Macaca fascicularis: one gene and its partners. The protein of the gene in region 2 interacts with the protein of the main gene of each other region in a pairwise test. Links are inferred from orthologs where the notes say so. Each region holds a gene or a part of one and is shown on either strand. Other genes may lie near its edges.

Region 1 (3,742 bases), on a different chromosome or scaffold from region 2:
GCCCTCCTCTCAATGCTCATCACACACAGGGCTATTCCTTTCCTCCAATGAACCAACCGCCTCCCGCCCACCTCCAGTTCCCAGCCCTCTGTTCCCTTTGCCTGGTCCACCCTCGGCCTCCCTGGGTCGCAGACGAGGTCGGCCTCGTCATTCCCCGCAGACCGCCGCGCGTCCCTCTTGTGCGGTTCACCACAGTTGTATTTTAAGTGATCATGTGAGTCGTCGTTAAATGCCTGTCTCCCCGCGGATCATGGGCTCCTCGAGGACAGGGACCGGCCTGTCTGTCCACTGCTGTAACCCCGCGCCGGCATAGGGACGTAAGGCCCCACTGGAGGGCGCTCATCAAATAGCTGCTGGATATTGACGAAGGAAGCGGCGGCGCAGCTCAGGGATCTCCGAGTCAGGACTGTCGGCCAGACCGACGGGGTAACATGTCTAATGGTGTGGGAATAAAGTTGTATTCCAGTGCTTCCAAACGGGCCTCTCATTCCAACCCCCTTCCAAGCAAAATGAATATTCCAATCATCTCTGGTCCCTTCCAGTGACCTTGAACCCCTCAGAGAACGCCCCGTCGACACCGTTCGGGGTCGGGCGCCACTACTGGCGCATAAGATGCGCTCAAGCGGAGGGCACTCCAACCGCAAAGCGACGCCGAGCCAACAGGGATGCCTGCCTCGGCGCCGGAAGCCCCAAAGAGCCGAATCTGGAACCGGATGTGGCTGCTTCCTGCCCCGCCCCCTGCCGAGGGGGCGGGAACCGAGGGCCCTTCGGAAAACGCGGCCGGGATTTCGGTCAGCGGAGTTCGTGGGTTGTGGTGGGGAGCGTAATCCCGTGGGGATGGAGTGACCCGCTCTCTCTCCTCCTGAAACGCTTCCCGCGGGAGTTTTAGCCGTGTTATTGTTGGGGAAGGGAATGTCAAATTCTGCTCCTGCCTTCCCCCAGGGGCTGGAGATTGGAATCTTTATTCCAGTTCAGTGCGGAGCGACGTGGTCTCCAGAATCCCCGAGTGTAGAGGCGGAGGACAGTGGAGCTGGGGACTCGGGCGCCTGGGTCCTGGTCCCTGAGCGTCCGGCGCTCCCCTAGTCCGCGGCCCTGGCTCCTGTCCTCACTTCCTTCCCCTTTTGGCTCCTGCTCTCGGAGCGGGCGGACGCGGGGGGGAGCGGAAAGGGCGGAAGGGGCCCGGGAGCCTAGCGGGAGGGGTTCAAGGGGGTACGGAAAAGCCGGGGAGGGGACTTGGTCCGGGGCCGGAGACCGACGGCAACAGCGGCCCAGGACCCACGCTGCCCCCACCCCTCCCGAGCAGGTCAGAGCCTGAGCACCCTGCGCGTCCCCGTACTCGTGACCCCCTCCTCCCCCAACTGCACCAAGGGCCACCCTATTTCACCCTTCTGTTGCCTCCCTCCCCCAGCCTTCCTGCAGAATTCCCTTCCGGTCTTCTTGACACCCACCCACGTCCCTTCCCTGCCCGGCTCCCCCGCGCCCACCTGACTCTCCACCCCCACCCCACCCCGTCTCTCCCCAGGCGCCCCCATGGCCCGACCCCGCTGATTCACTCGGCCATGCTCCCGCGGCCCCTGCGGCTGCTTTTGGACACGAGCCCCCCAGGGGGAGTCGTACTGAGCAGCTTCCGAAGCCGGGACCCCGATGAGGGTGGGGGCCCAGGTGGCCTGGTCGTGGGCGGGGGGCAGGAGGAAGAGGAGGAGGAAGAAGAAGAGGTGAGACGCGGGTGGTGGGAGGTAGGGGTCGGATGTATTTCTGAAGTCTCCACTTTTCTCTTGTCTCTGGGTCCCTACATCTCCTCCTCCTTGCCTCAGTTATTCTCGCGCCTCCCTGGGCGTCGGCCCGTTTCTCTGCTGCGGGGAGTCCCGGCGTCTCTGTGGTTCTCTGTCAGTGTGACTCAGGACCTGCCCGCAGGAACCTGCCTGGAACTTCTGGCTGGCTGTCCCTGCGGGTCTCTGGCCCTCTGCCTCTGCCTGCCTGAGTGTGCCTACTTCTCTGAGCAGTCTTGTCTTGCCCCCTGTCTCCCTCCTTGTTTTTGTTTGGCGGGGAGGGGTTTGTTTCCACAGTAACCAGCTCCTCTGACTCTGGGATTGGGGAGGGAACCCTCAGATTTCGTGACCCCTCCTTCCCTCCCTCCCCTTTACCCCCCCCCCCCCATCCTGGGTAGAGGCAGGGAAGCCACGGTTCTGGGACCTGGAGGAATGATCCTAGGGTGGGTAGAGAGTGGTTACCTGTTTTCATTAGGGATTAATGGTGGTGGCCAGGAGCAGGATTTTAGGCCTCAGGAGGGGCCAGAATTTGGATTTGGGGCCCCGAGGCCCTGAACTCCTAGGTCCAGATCCTAAGTGAGGGCAGGTTGACTGGCAAGGCTGGTTTTTCGGGATCGGTCGGGGGAGGGACTGGGGCCACGTGACTCTCTGAGTCTACCGCCCCCCAGCCCCCATCATCCCACTTCCCCTTTTCCTTCCTGGACTGGGATTGGAGCTGCTACCTTCAGGGGTCCCTTAGGGCTGAGATAGTGGAGGCATTACCCGAGGGACCAGTGTGAAAGGGGGCCTGAGAAGGACTAAAGCTCTGGGCTGGTCTAGTCCTTGGCCGGGAGGGGCGGGGCATGCGGCAGTGCCTGAACTGAGGTTTCAGCTACTCCTAGTCTCTGCCTCTGGCTTGCTGCCTCTCGCTTCCCTCTCCTGCTCTTTGTACCCTGCTTCTCTGTCGTGTGTGGGTTCAGCTCTGGGGGGAAAGGGCTTTGGGGGTCTCCAGGATCAGGATTCCTGTACTCCATCCACGCCTCCACTACAGCCCCTTCGACTCCACCGGGGCCCTGAGGCGACTGGGGTGGGGCTGTCTGGGCCCCAGTGGGGGAGACCTGGGGTCACCAGCTCCCCCCACCCTTCCTCGCACTCGCTGGTACTATGCCCTGCCACCACAGGTGAGGGGTATAGAGGGAGAAGCAGGGCCTGGGGTGAAGGCTGAGGGCAGTGGGGGGTGATATGGAACTGTCTGACTTCCCCTTCCTTGCTCCTGCAGGCCCCTGTGTCCGTCTGGGATGAGGAGGAGGATGGTGCTGTGTTTACCATCACAAGCCGCCAATATCGACCTCTTGATCCCTTGGTGAGATCATGACTTTAGCTTCTCACCTCTGACTCTTCAGTTCGCTTCCTCTGGCTGACTTTCTGGCCAGAGTGCTAGGTTGGAGTTCTGGAGTCCTGGACTCCGCTGTATGACATAGGCCAAGACTTTTGCCCTCTCTAAATATCAGAAAAATGAGGCTGGAACATCTCCTGGGTCTGGGATTGTCCTCAGAAATCTAGGGGCAGAGTGGGAGAAAGCGTTGGTGATCATCTCTTTGTGTCCTCCAGGTCCCTATGCCTCCCCCGCGTTCCTCCCGACGGCTCCGAGCTGGCACTCTGGAGGCCCTGGTCAGACACCTACTGGATACCCGGACATCAGGGACTGATGGGACTTTCATGTCAGCCTTCCTGGCCACCCACCGGGCCTTCACCTCGACGCCTGCCTTGCTAGGACTTATGGCTGACAGGTCAGAGTCATAAGGGACCCAGGGTCGTGGAGTGTCTGTCCAGATTTCCTAAAGTTCCAACATCCCACCAAAATAGTTAAGGCCACTGGGGGTTTGGGGAAAATGGACAGATAGATCCTCTTCTTCCCCTCAGGCTGGAAGCCCTTGAATCTCATCCTACCGGTGAACTAGAGAGGACAACAGAGTGAGTGACCCCTGTTTCTT
Region 2 (3,742 bases):
TGAGCCCCAAGGCCTAGGGGTGCAAGGACCAGGGGTTGGAGGCTGTGGAGTCCCAAGCCCCCACTGGACTCCCACCTCAGACACTGCTCCTGGTGTTCTCGCCCAGGCCTGAACCCATCCGCACACTTCGCAGTCCTGCTCCTACCCTGTGTCCCCTCTGCGAGCCCCCATGCTCCCCAAATTGGAAACTGGAGGAATTCTGTCTCCACACCCCAGCTAGTGCCATTCCCTGGTGGGTAGCTCATCACCTCTGGTCCCCTGCAGCCCTTGCCCCTTCACCATGGACGCTGGGAGGGCAGAGCCCGCTCCCCTGCTGAGCCCCACCCTGGAACTCCAAGCACCCTGGGTCCTTGCCTCTGCATCTCCCTCAGGGGCAAGGCTTGGGGCCCCTCCTGCCTCCTGACAGGGAGCCCCTTCAGTGCAGGGCCAGGGGGTGGTGGAGGCAAGGGTCCCCAGGGGACCAGATCTGACGTGCGGGGCCTCCACTGGGTCCCCGTTGGCTGTGCTGCTTAGTCCCCGCGCCCTCGCCTCGGCGCAGGCTCCCTCCTGCCACCAGGCATACGGCGAGGCCTGTGGCTCCCACCCCAAGGGTGCGCTCGGCTCTCACCTGAGGGCTCAGCCCAGGTGTCCGGCCCTGGCAGCTCGGCCCTGGGCGCCCTCCGCCGCCAGGCGCTGTCTCCTACTCCAGGCTGTTCTTCCGGCTGCGGGGTTGCGGCCTGGGTCCCATGGCAACGTGGGCGGGTCCTCATTTGAATACGCAAATATTTATAAGCCGCAGGAGGCTCGGGTTCTGAGGGGCTGAGCCACGCCCCTTAGCAACGGTCGCTAGGGCGGGGCCACGTGAGTTGGCACTTGGGTGGGCGATCCCGGGGGAGGTGACGCGCCACCAAGTCGGGTGGGCGCAGGCGCGTCAGGTGCCAGCTCCCTGCGGCTCCGTGCCCGGGCCGTCGCGGTGCACGTGTCGCGTTTCCTCGCGATCCCGGCGCTTCCCACGCGGGGCCGGCAAGGGCGGTCTCTGCTGGAGGCTCCCGCCCACCTTTCCCACGTGGAAGGGTCGCCCCTGGGGTCGAGGCCTGACGCCCTGACCTTCGATTGGAAGTGAGGCCGACAGCAAAAGGAAGCACCGGGGCAAGCGCCCCGGAGGACCAGGAAACACAGACCGGATGCCGAAGCGCGCCCGAGTGCCCGGCCCGTGGGACACGCCGCCGCCCGCCGTTCAGTCGCCGCCTCTCACCTGCGTTCATGCGCGTCCGCCCCGAGCCGGGCTCTGACTGCGACCGCGCGGTGGATGGACGGCAGGCGGGACCCCCGGGACCGCACGTGGGTGGAGCCCCGGGTCAGCGGCGACCGGCGCAGGAGGGCGTGGCGGCGGGGCGGGCACTGGGTTGGGCAGAGGCAGGGTTTGCCTGACCGTAAAACGCCTTTTTTTCTTTTAAACGCCTTTTTTTTGAGACGAAGTTGCGCTCTGTCACCCAGGCCGGAGTGCAGTGGCGCGATCTCGGCTCACCGCAACATTCGCCACCCGGGTTCCAGCGATTCTCCTGCCTCAGCCTCCTGAGTAGTTGGGCCTACAGGCTCGCGCCACTGCAGCCGACTAATTTTTTGCATTTTTAGTAGAGACGGGATTTCATCATGTTGGCCAGGCCGGTCTTGAACTCCTGACCTCAAGTAATCCACCGGCCTAGGCCTCCCAAAGTGCTGGGATTATAGGCGTGAGCCACCGCGGCCGGCCCCTTTTGCTTTTTTTTTTTTTTTTTTTTTTTTTTTTTTAGACGGAGTCTCGCTCTGCCACCCAGGCTGGAGTGCAGTGGCCGGATCTCAGCTCACTGCAAGCTCCGCCTCCCGGGTTCACGCCATTCTCCTGCCTCAGCCTCCCAAGTAGCTGGGACTACAGGCGCCCGCCACCTCGCCCGGCTAGTTTTTTGTATTTTTTAGTAGAGACGGGGTTTCACCGTGTCAGCCAGGATGGCCCTTTTGCTTTTTAATGAGAATGTATTTCTGATTCCTTTGCAATTTAAAAAAATGTTAAAAAAAAAAAAAAAAACACGTCTTTTGGGGTTTGAAAGAGCTAGGATGTGGTCTTTGTGCTTGGGGTGAGCCCTGGGCACTTCGCTCTCCTGTGGCAACCTGTAGGTACCGTTTAACTGCACCACGCTGAGCTTCTGCATGGTTGGAACCTCAAGTCTGGGGGGACTGAGCGGGCAGGGTCGCCTGCCACGCAGGCCCAAGTAAGAGAAGTGGTGGAGGGGGCGTTCTCACGCCTGGCCCCAGGGAGCACGGCTGCGCCCGCCGCTCGAAACCCCACCGGAGCTGCAAGGCGTCCTCGGGGTGGGCTGAGGTGGGAGTAGGGGAGCTGGGGTGCGTGTGGTAGGTGGGGTGCGCGGAGGAGGCGGGGTGCGCACCGTCCGGGTGCGGGGCCACTCCACCTGCGCGGAAGGGGAGCCGGGCAACCGGACCCCGCGGCCACCCGGGGGCCCCCAGCTCCGAGCGGCCCGCCTTGGTCCCGACGGATCCCAGCCTTTCCTCAGCCGGAGCCCCGGGACCTCCGCGGTGGGCGACGCCGCGCTGCGGACGCAGGGAGGGCCTCGAGTGCACGGGCGCCGCTGAGTCGGGTTCTCTCGCCGGCCTGTTCCCGGGAGAGTCCACGGCCCTGCTCGGATATGCCGCCGCAGGCCCCCAGACACCTGCTCCCTCGCCCTCCTTGAGCAACCCCGAGCTTGCCTCCGCTCGCCGGCCTAGCCCAACCCCCCGAGGCCGCGGCCCTTCTGGCTCCGCCTCCCGCGTTGCTCCCGGAAGCCCTGCCCGACCGCGGCTCCTGACAGACGGGCCGCTCAGCCAACCGGGGCGGGGCGGGGCCTGGTGTAGCGAGGCCAATGGTAGGTCGCGCAGGGCTGACGGACGGGCGCGGGGTGGGGCGTGCGCGAGCCCGGCCGAGTCTCCGCCGCCCGCTCCCTGCGCCTGCAGCCCCAGCCGCACCCGCCGCGGACGGAGCCCATGCGCGGGGAGAACCGCGCGCCCCCGCCCCCGCCCCCCCCTGGCCTCGGCCCCGGCCCCGGGGGCAGTCGCGCCACTGAGCGGTGAGTGCGGGCCGGGGTCGGCCGGGCCGCGCGCCCTCCCCGCCCCCAGGCGGCAGCCATACGCGCGGCGCGGGCCGGGGGCGCGGGACCGGCGGGCGTGAGCGGCTGCGGCGGCGGTAGTGGGTGGGTGGGGCCGGGCCGGGCCGGGCGGGGCCCCCAGGCACAGGTGAGCGGGCGTCGGGGGCTGCGGCTGGCGGGGGCGGGCTGAGGCCCCTTAGTCCCTGGGGCCTGCGGGAATCCGGGCCCCGCCCGTGGCCTCGCTCTGGGCACGGTCCTCACGCCGGCGTCCCCGGGAGCCTCGGGCCCGGCGCCCTCATAACCAGGCGCGTCTGGGCGGAGGCGGCCGCGGCCACGGCACGCCCGGGCACCCCCGATTCAGCATCACAGGTCGCGGACGAGGCCGGGGGCCTCAGCCCCAGGGCCCTTCCCCTCTCCGGGTCTCCCGCGCCGCCTCTCGGCCCCTTCCTGTGGCTCAGCCCCTGCTTCCCAGGAGCCCCTCTGTCTTTTCCAGCTTTCTGTGGCTGAAAGATGCCCCCGGTTCCCCGCCGGGGGCGCGGGGCGCTGCCCGGGTCTGCCCTCCCCTCAGCGGCGCCTAGCACGCAGTAGGCGCTCAGCAAATACTTGTCGGAGGCACCAGCGCCACGGGGCCTGCAGGCTGGCACTGG
Region 3 (3,642 bases), on a different chromosome or scaffold from region 2:
GCCTCCCAAAGTGCTGGGATTACAGGTGTGAGCCACCACACCCAACCCAGTTGCTTTCTTAATGTTTCTTTCTCCCACTTCCCAAAACCCATTTTGTGCTGAAATTTTACCATTAGAACATACCCGAAGATAGAAACTGAGATCTCAACTTTTTTCTCCAAAAGAAAATTTGCGTTTTTATCTCCCTAAAGTAAAGAAGAAGTAAGGGGTTAAAATCACCAGAACAGAGTAGAGAGAAGGTACCCGTGCAGCCCCCTTCCTGATGAGAGTAGCTAGATGAGGCCCTTAGATGCACAAAACCTGGTGTTCCTTGAAGATCTAATATTTTTCAGATATGAGTGACCAATTAGAGTCCTCTGCTTTCAGCCACACAAAGTGTAGTGCACTTACCAAAGCATTATCCAAAATGTAATAAAGTGTTCTCTAAATCAGCTATAAGAAGCTCCCAGAAATTTGAAGCATCATAGTCATGTGGTTTTCATTTAGAATGGCTTCAACATTTGTTTTTCTCTTACCAGCCCGTGTTCCCAAGAAAATCCTCAAGTGCAAGGCCGTGTCTCGAGAACTCAATTTTTCTTCAACAGAACAAATGGAAAAATTCCGCCTGGAACAAAAAATTTACTTCAAAGGGCAATGCCTAGAAGGTATTCTGCTGCCTGCATGCCTGAAATCAGGGCTTAGGGGGACCAGGACAAAAGGCAACAATACCCAGTGAACTAAAGCAGTGCTTTGATAACATTCCTTTTACAACTCAGTTTGTGGTAGGATTCCTACACTCTGCAAGACTGTGAATCCCCAGTGAAAACAAACCAAAACAAAGCTGGCCACTGCAAGGGGCTTTGAGGTCTCTGACACTGGGAGCATGGATGGTGGTACCTGGTTTAGGCACTGACATTGTATTGTGATATGGTCATGGAGGAAGCTGCTATGAGCAGGGCCTAGTACAGTGCTCTACATACAGTATCATACAGATTTGACTGGCCACTCTGCATTGAATTCTCACCATGCAGTATAAGAGGGCACATAAGCCCCTTCAAGCTAGTCCAAGAGAATTGAGCTATGTATCTATGTATAGTTCACATCTAGCCTACCTCTAAGAAAATGCTGCTTATGTTGTGTCCTGGTCACTGGTCCTAGTCCTTTAGACCTCAAAGCATGAGAAGCAAGGCTTTGGTGTAGTTCAGAGGACAACCTGAGGAGCCTTCCCTGTCTTTTTTATGCCTCTGGTCTGAGAGGTTGCTGATAGCTTCCTTCGGTGGTTCTCAGGGTAGGAAGAGGCTCACTCTAGAGGAGGGAGACAAAGAGCCCTTAAACTTTATACTGGGGCACCTGCTCACCCCGGCTTTTCCTTCTTCCTTCAGAATGGTTCTTCGAGTTTGGCTTTGTGATCCCTAACTCCACAAATACCTGGCAGTCCTTGATAGAGGCAGCACCCGAGTCCCAGATGATGCCAGCAAGCGTCTTAACGTGAGTGAGCAGGTCTCAGGAAATTATGAAGTGTGTCTAGAAACAGGCATTCCAGGCAGGTGGGACTCCTGGTGCCATTGAGTGGGCAGAGAGCTCAGTTGAGAAATAGAGTAAAAGAGTATCCGAGGGCCGGGCGCGGTGGCTCACGCCTGTAATCCCAGCACTTTGGGAGGCCGAGGCGGGCGGATCACAAGGTCAGGAGATCGAGACCACGGTGAAACCCCGTCTCTACTAAAAATACAAAAAATTAGCCGGGCGCGGTTGTGGGCGCCTGTAGTCCCAGCTACTCGGGAGGCTGAGGCAGGAGAATGGCGTGAACCCGGGAGGCGGAGCTTGTAGTGAGCCGAGATCGCGCCACTGCACTCCAGCCTGGGCGACAGAGCGAGACTCCGTCTCAAAAAAAAAAAAAAAAAAAAAAAAAGAGTATCCGAGGGTGTCTAGGTTTCCAGGTTCCTGACCTTTTTCATATGAAAAAGACAGTATGATAGAGTGGAAAGAATAATTAAAAAAAAAAAAAGAAAAAAAAAAACTTTAGATTAGACCAGATTTAAATTCCTGATTCACACTGACTACCTGTGTCATCTTGGGCACTAATACACTTTATCTCTCTGAGCCTTAGTCTTTCATCTCTAAACACAGAAATTAATTCTCTCTTACAGAGGTGTAATGAAGATAAAATGCGATGGCATGGAAGGAGACTGGCATTTAATATATACCGAATCTATGTTAATTTGCTCCTATTCCTGACTACCATACTTCCAGTATCTCTGTATTTTGTTTAGATCACCTTTAACAGAATCTGGCAAAGTCCTATTAATAATTCTGTTTTCAAGGATACTTGGTTACAATTTTTTGGTGAATAGCTTACCATATTAATAGCTTTGGTTCCTGTTCAAAGAACAGTTTGTTTGTGCTTTGTCCAAAAACACTGTCAATAACTTCCCACCTCCCATTGTCTGTGGGAAAGGTGTTAGTCTCTCAAGTGTTATAGTAATAGTACCTTCTAAAGAGTTAGTCCCAGCCGGGCGCGGTGGTTCAAGCCTGTAATCCCAGCACTTTGGGAGGCTGAGACGGGCGGATCACGAGGTCAGGAGATCGAGACCATCTTGGCTAACACGGTGAAACCCCGTCTCTACTAAAAAATACAAAAAACTAGCCGGACGAGGTGGCGGCGCCTGTAGTCCCAGCTACTCGGGAGGCTGAGCCAGGAGAATGGCGGGAACCCGGGAGGCGGAGCTTGCAGTGAGCCGAGATCCGGCCACTGCACTCCAGCCTGGGCGACAGAGCGAGACTCTGTCTCAAAAAAAAAAAAAAAGAGTTAGTCCCAAATTAGCTGGGCATGGTGGCACACACCTGTAATCCCAGCTACTCAAGAGGCTGAGATAGGAGAATTGCTTGAATCAGGGAGGTGGAGGTTGCAGTGAGCCAAGATCATGCCACTGCATTCCAGCCTGGGTAACAGAGCAAGACTCTGTTTCAAAAAAAAAAAGAGTTAGTCCCACAGATAATTGTGTAATATTGGATCATCTCTTTCAACAGTTCCTTTATGAAAGCCATATTGAATTTGTTAAAAATTGAGGTTATTTACTTTTAGGTTTTTTGTTTGTTTTGGTTTTGGGTTTTATTTTATTTAAAAAAAAAAAAAAAAAAAAAAAAAAAAAAAAAAAACCAGGGTCTTGCCATGTTGCCCAGGCTGGACTCCAGCTCCTGGGCTCAAATGATCTTCCTGCCTCAGCCTCCTAAGTAGGTGAGACTACAGGCATGTGCCACTATGCCTGTCTCTACTTTTTAAGGTTTTTTTTTTTTTTTCTTTGAGACAGAGTCTCTCTCTGTTGCCCAGGCTGGAGTGCAGTGGCACAATATTGGCTCACTGCAACGTCTGCCTCCTGGGTTCAAGTGATTCTCCTGCCTCAGCCTCCTAAGTCACTGGGATTACTGGCACCCACCACCATACCCGGCTAATTTTTTGTATTTTTTAGTAGAGACGGGGTTTTGTCTTGTTGACCAGGCTAGTCTTGAGCTCCTGACCTCAGGTGATCCACTCGTCTTGGCCTCCCAAAGCGCTGAGATTACAGGCATGAGCCACCGTGCCCAGCCCCTTTTTAAGTTTTTAATAGTTTTTTTGCCGGGCGCGGTGGCTCACGCCTGTAATCCCAGCACTTTGGGAGGCCGAGG

What was found.
Region 1: the proteins of HRAS (region 2) and RGL2 interact in binary tests that used the Homo sapiens proteins (3 or more experiments, as listed by UniProt). The link is inferred for Macaca fascicularis from reciprocal best matches to the Homo sapiens genes HRAS and RGL2.
Region 3: the proteins of HRAS (region 2) and PDE6D interact in a two-hybrid assay, tested with the Homo sapiens proteins (2 studies listed by BioGRID). The link is inferred for Macaca fascicularis from reciprocal best matches to the Homo sapiens genes HRAS and PDE6D.

What each region holds. Positions count from the first base shown.
Region 1 is NC_088378.1:138,404,256-138,407,997, forward strand, and holds the start of RGL2 (ral guanine nucleotide dissociation stimulator-like 2), read left to right. Parts: upstream 1-1,161; 5' UTR 1,162-1,303; intron 1,304-1,522; 5' UTR 1,523-1,559; coding exon of another isoform or gene 1,560-1,644; coding exon 1,645-1,715; intron 1,716-2,165; exon of another isoform or gene 2,166-2,212; intron 2,213-2,799; coding exon 2,800-2,929; intron 2,930-3,027; coding exon 3,028-3,111; intron 3,112-3,359; coding exon 3,360-3,538; intron 3,539-3,671; coding exon 3,672-3,722; intron 3,723-3,742. UniProt on the Homo sapiens protein: Probable guanine nucleotide exchange factor. Putative effector of Ras and/or Rap. Associates with the GTP-bound form of Rap 1A and H-Ras in vitro.
Region 2 is NC_088388.1:433,461-437,202, reverse strand, and holds the start of HRAS (GTPase HRas), read left to right. Parts: upstream 1-903; 5' UTR 904-1,320; exon of another isoform or gene 1,321-1,336; intron 1,337-2,932; exon of another isoform or gene 2,933-3,077; intron 3,078-3,742. UniProt on the Homo sapiens protein: Involved in the activation of Ras protein signal transduction. Ras proteins bind GDP/GTP and possess intrinsic GTPase activity.
Region 3 is NC_088386.1:127,657,535-127,661,176, reverse strand, and holds part of PDE6D (retinal rod rhodopsin-sensitive cGMP 3',5'-cyclic phosphodiesterase subunit delta), read left to right. Parts: intron 1-518; coding exon 519-644; intron 645-1,361; coding exon 1,362-1,467; intron 1,468-3,642. UniProt on the Homo sapiens protein: Promotes the release of prenylated target proteins from cellular membranes. Modulates the activity of prenylated or palmitoylated Ras family members by regulating their subcellular location.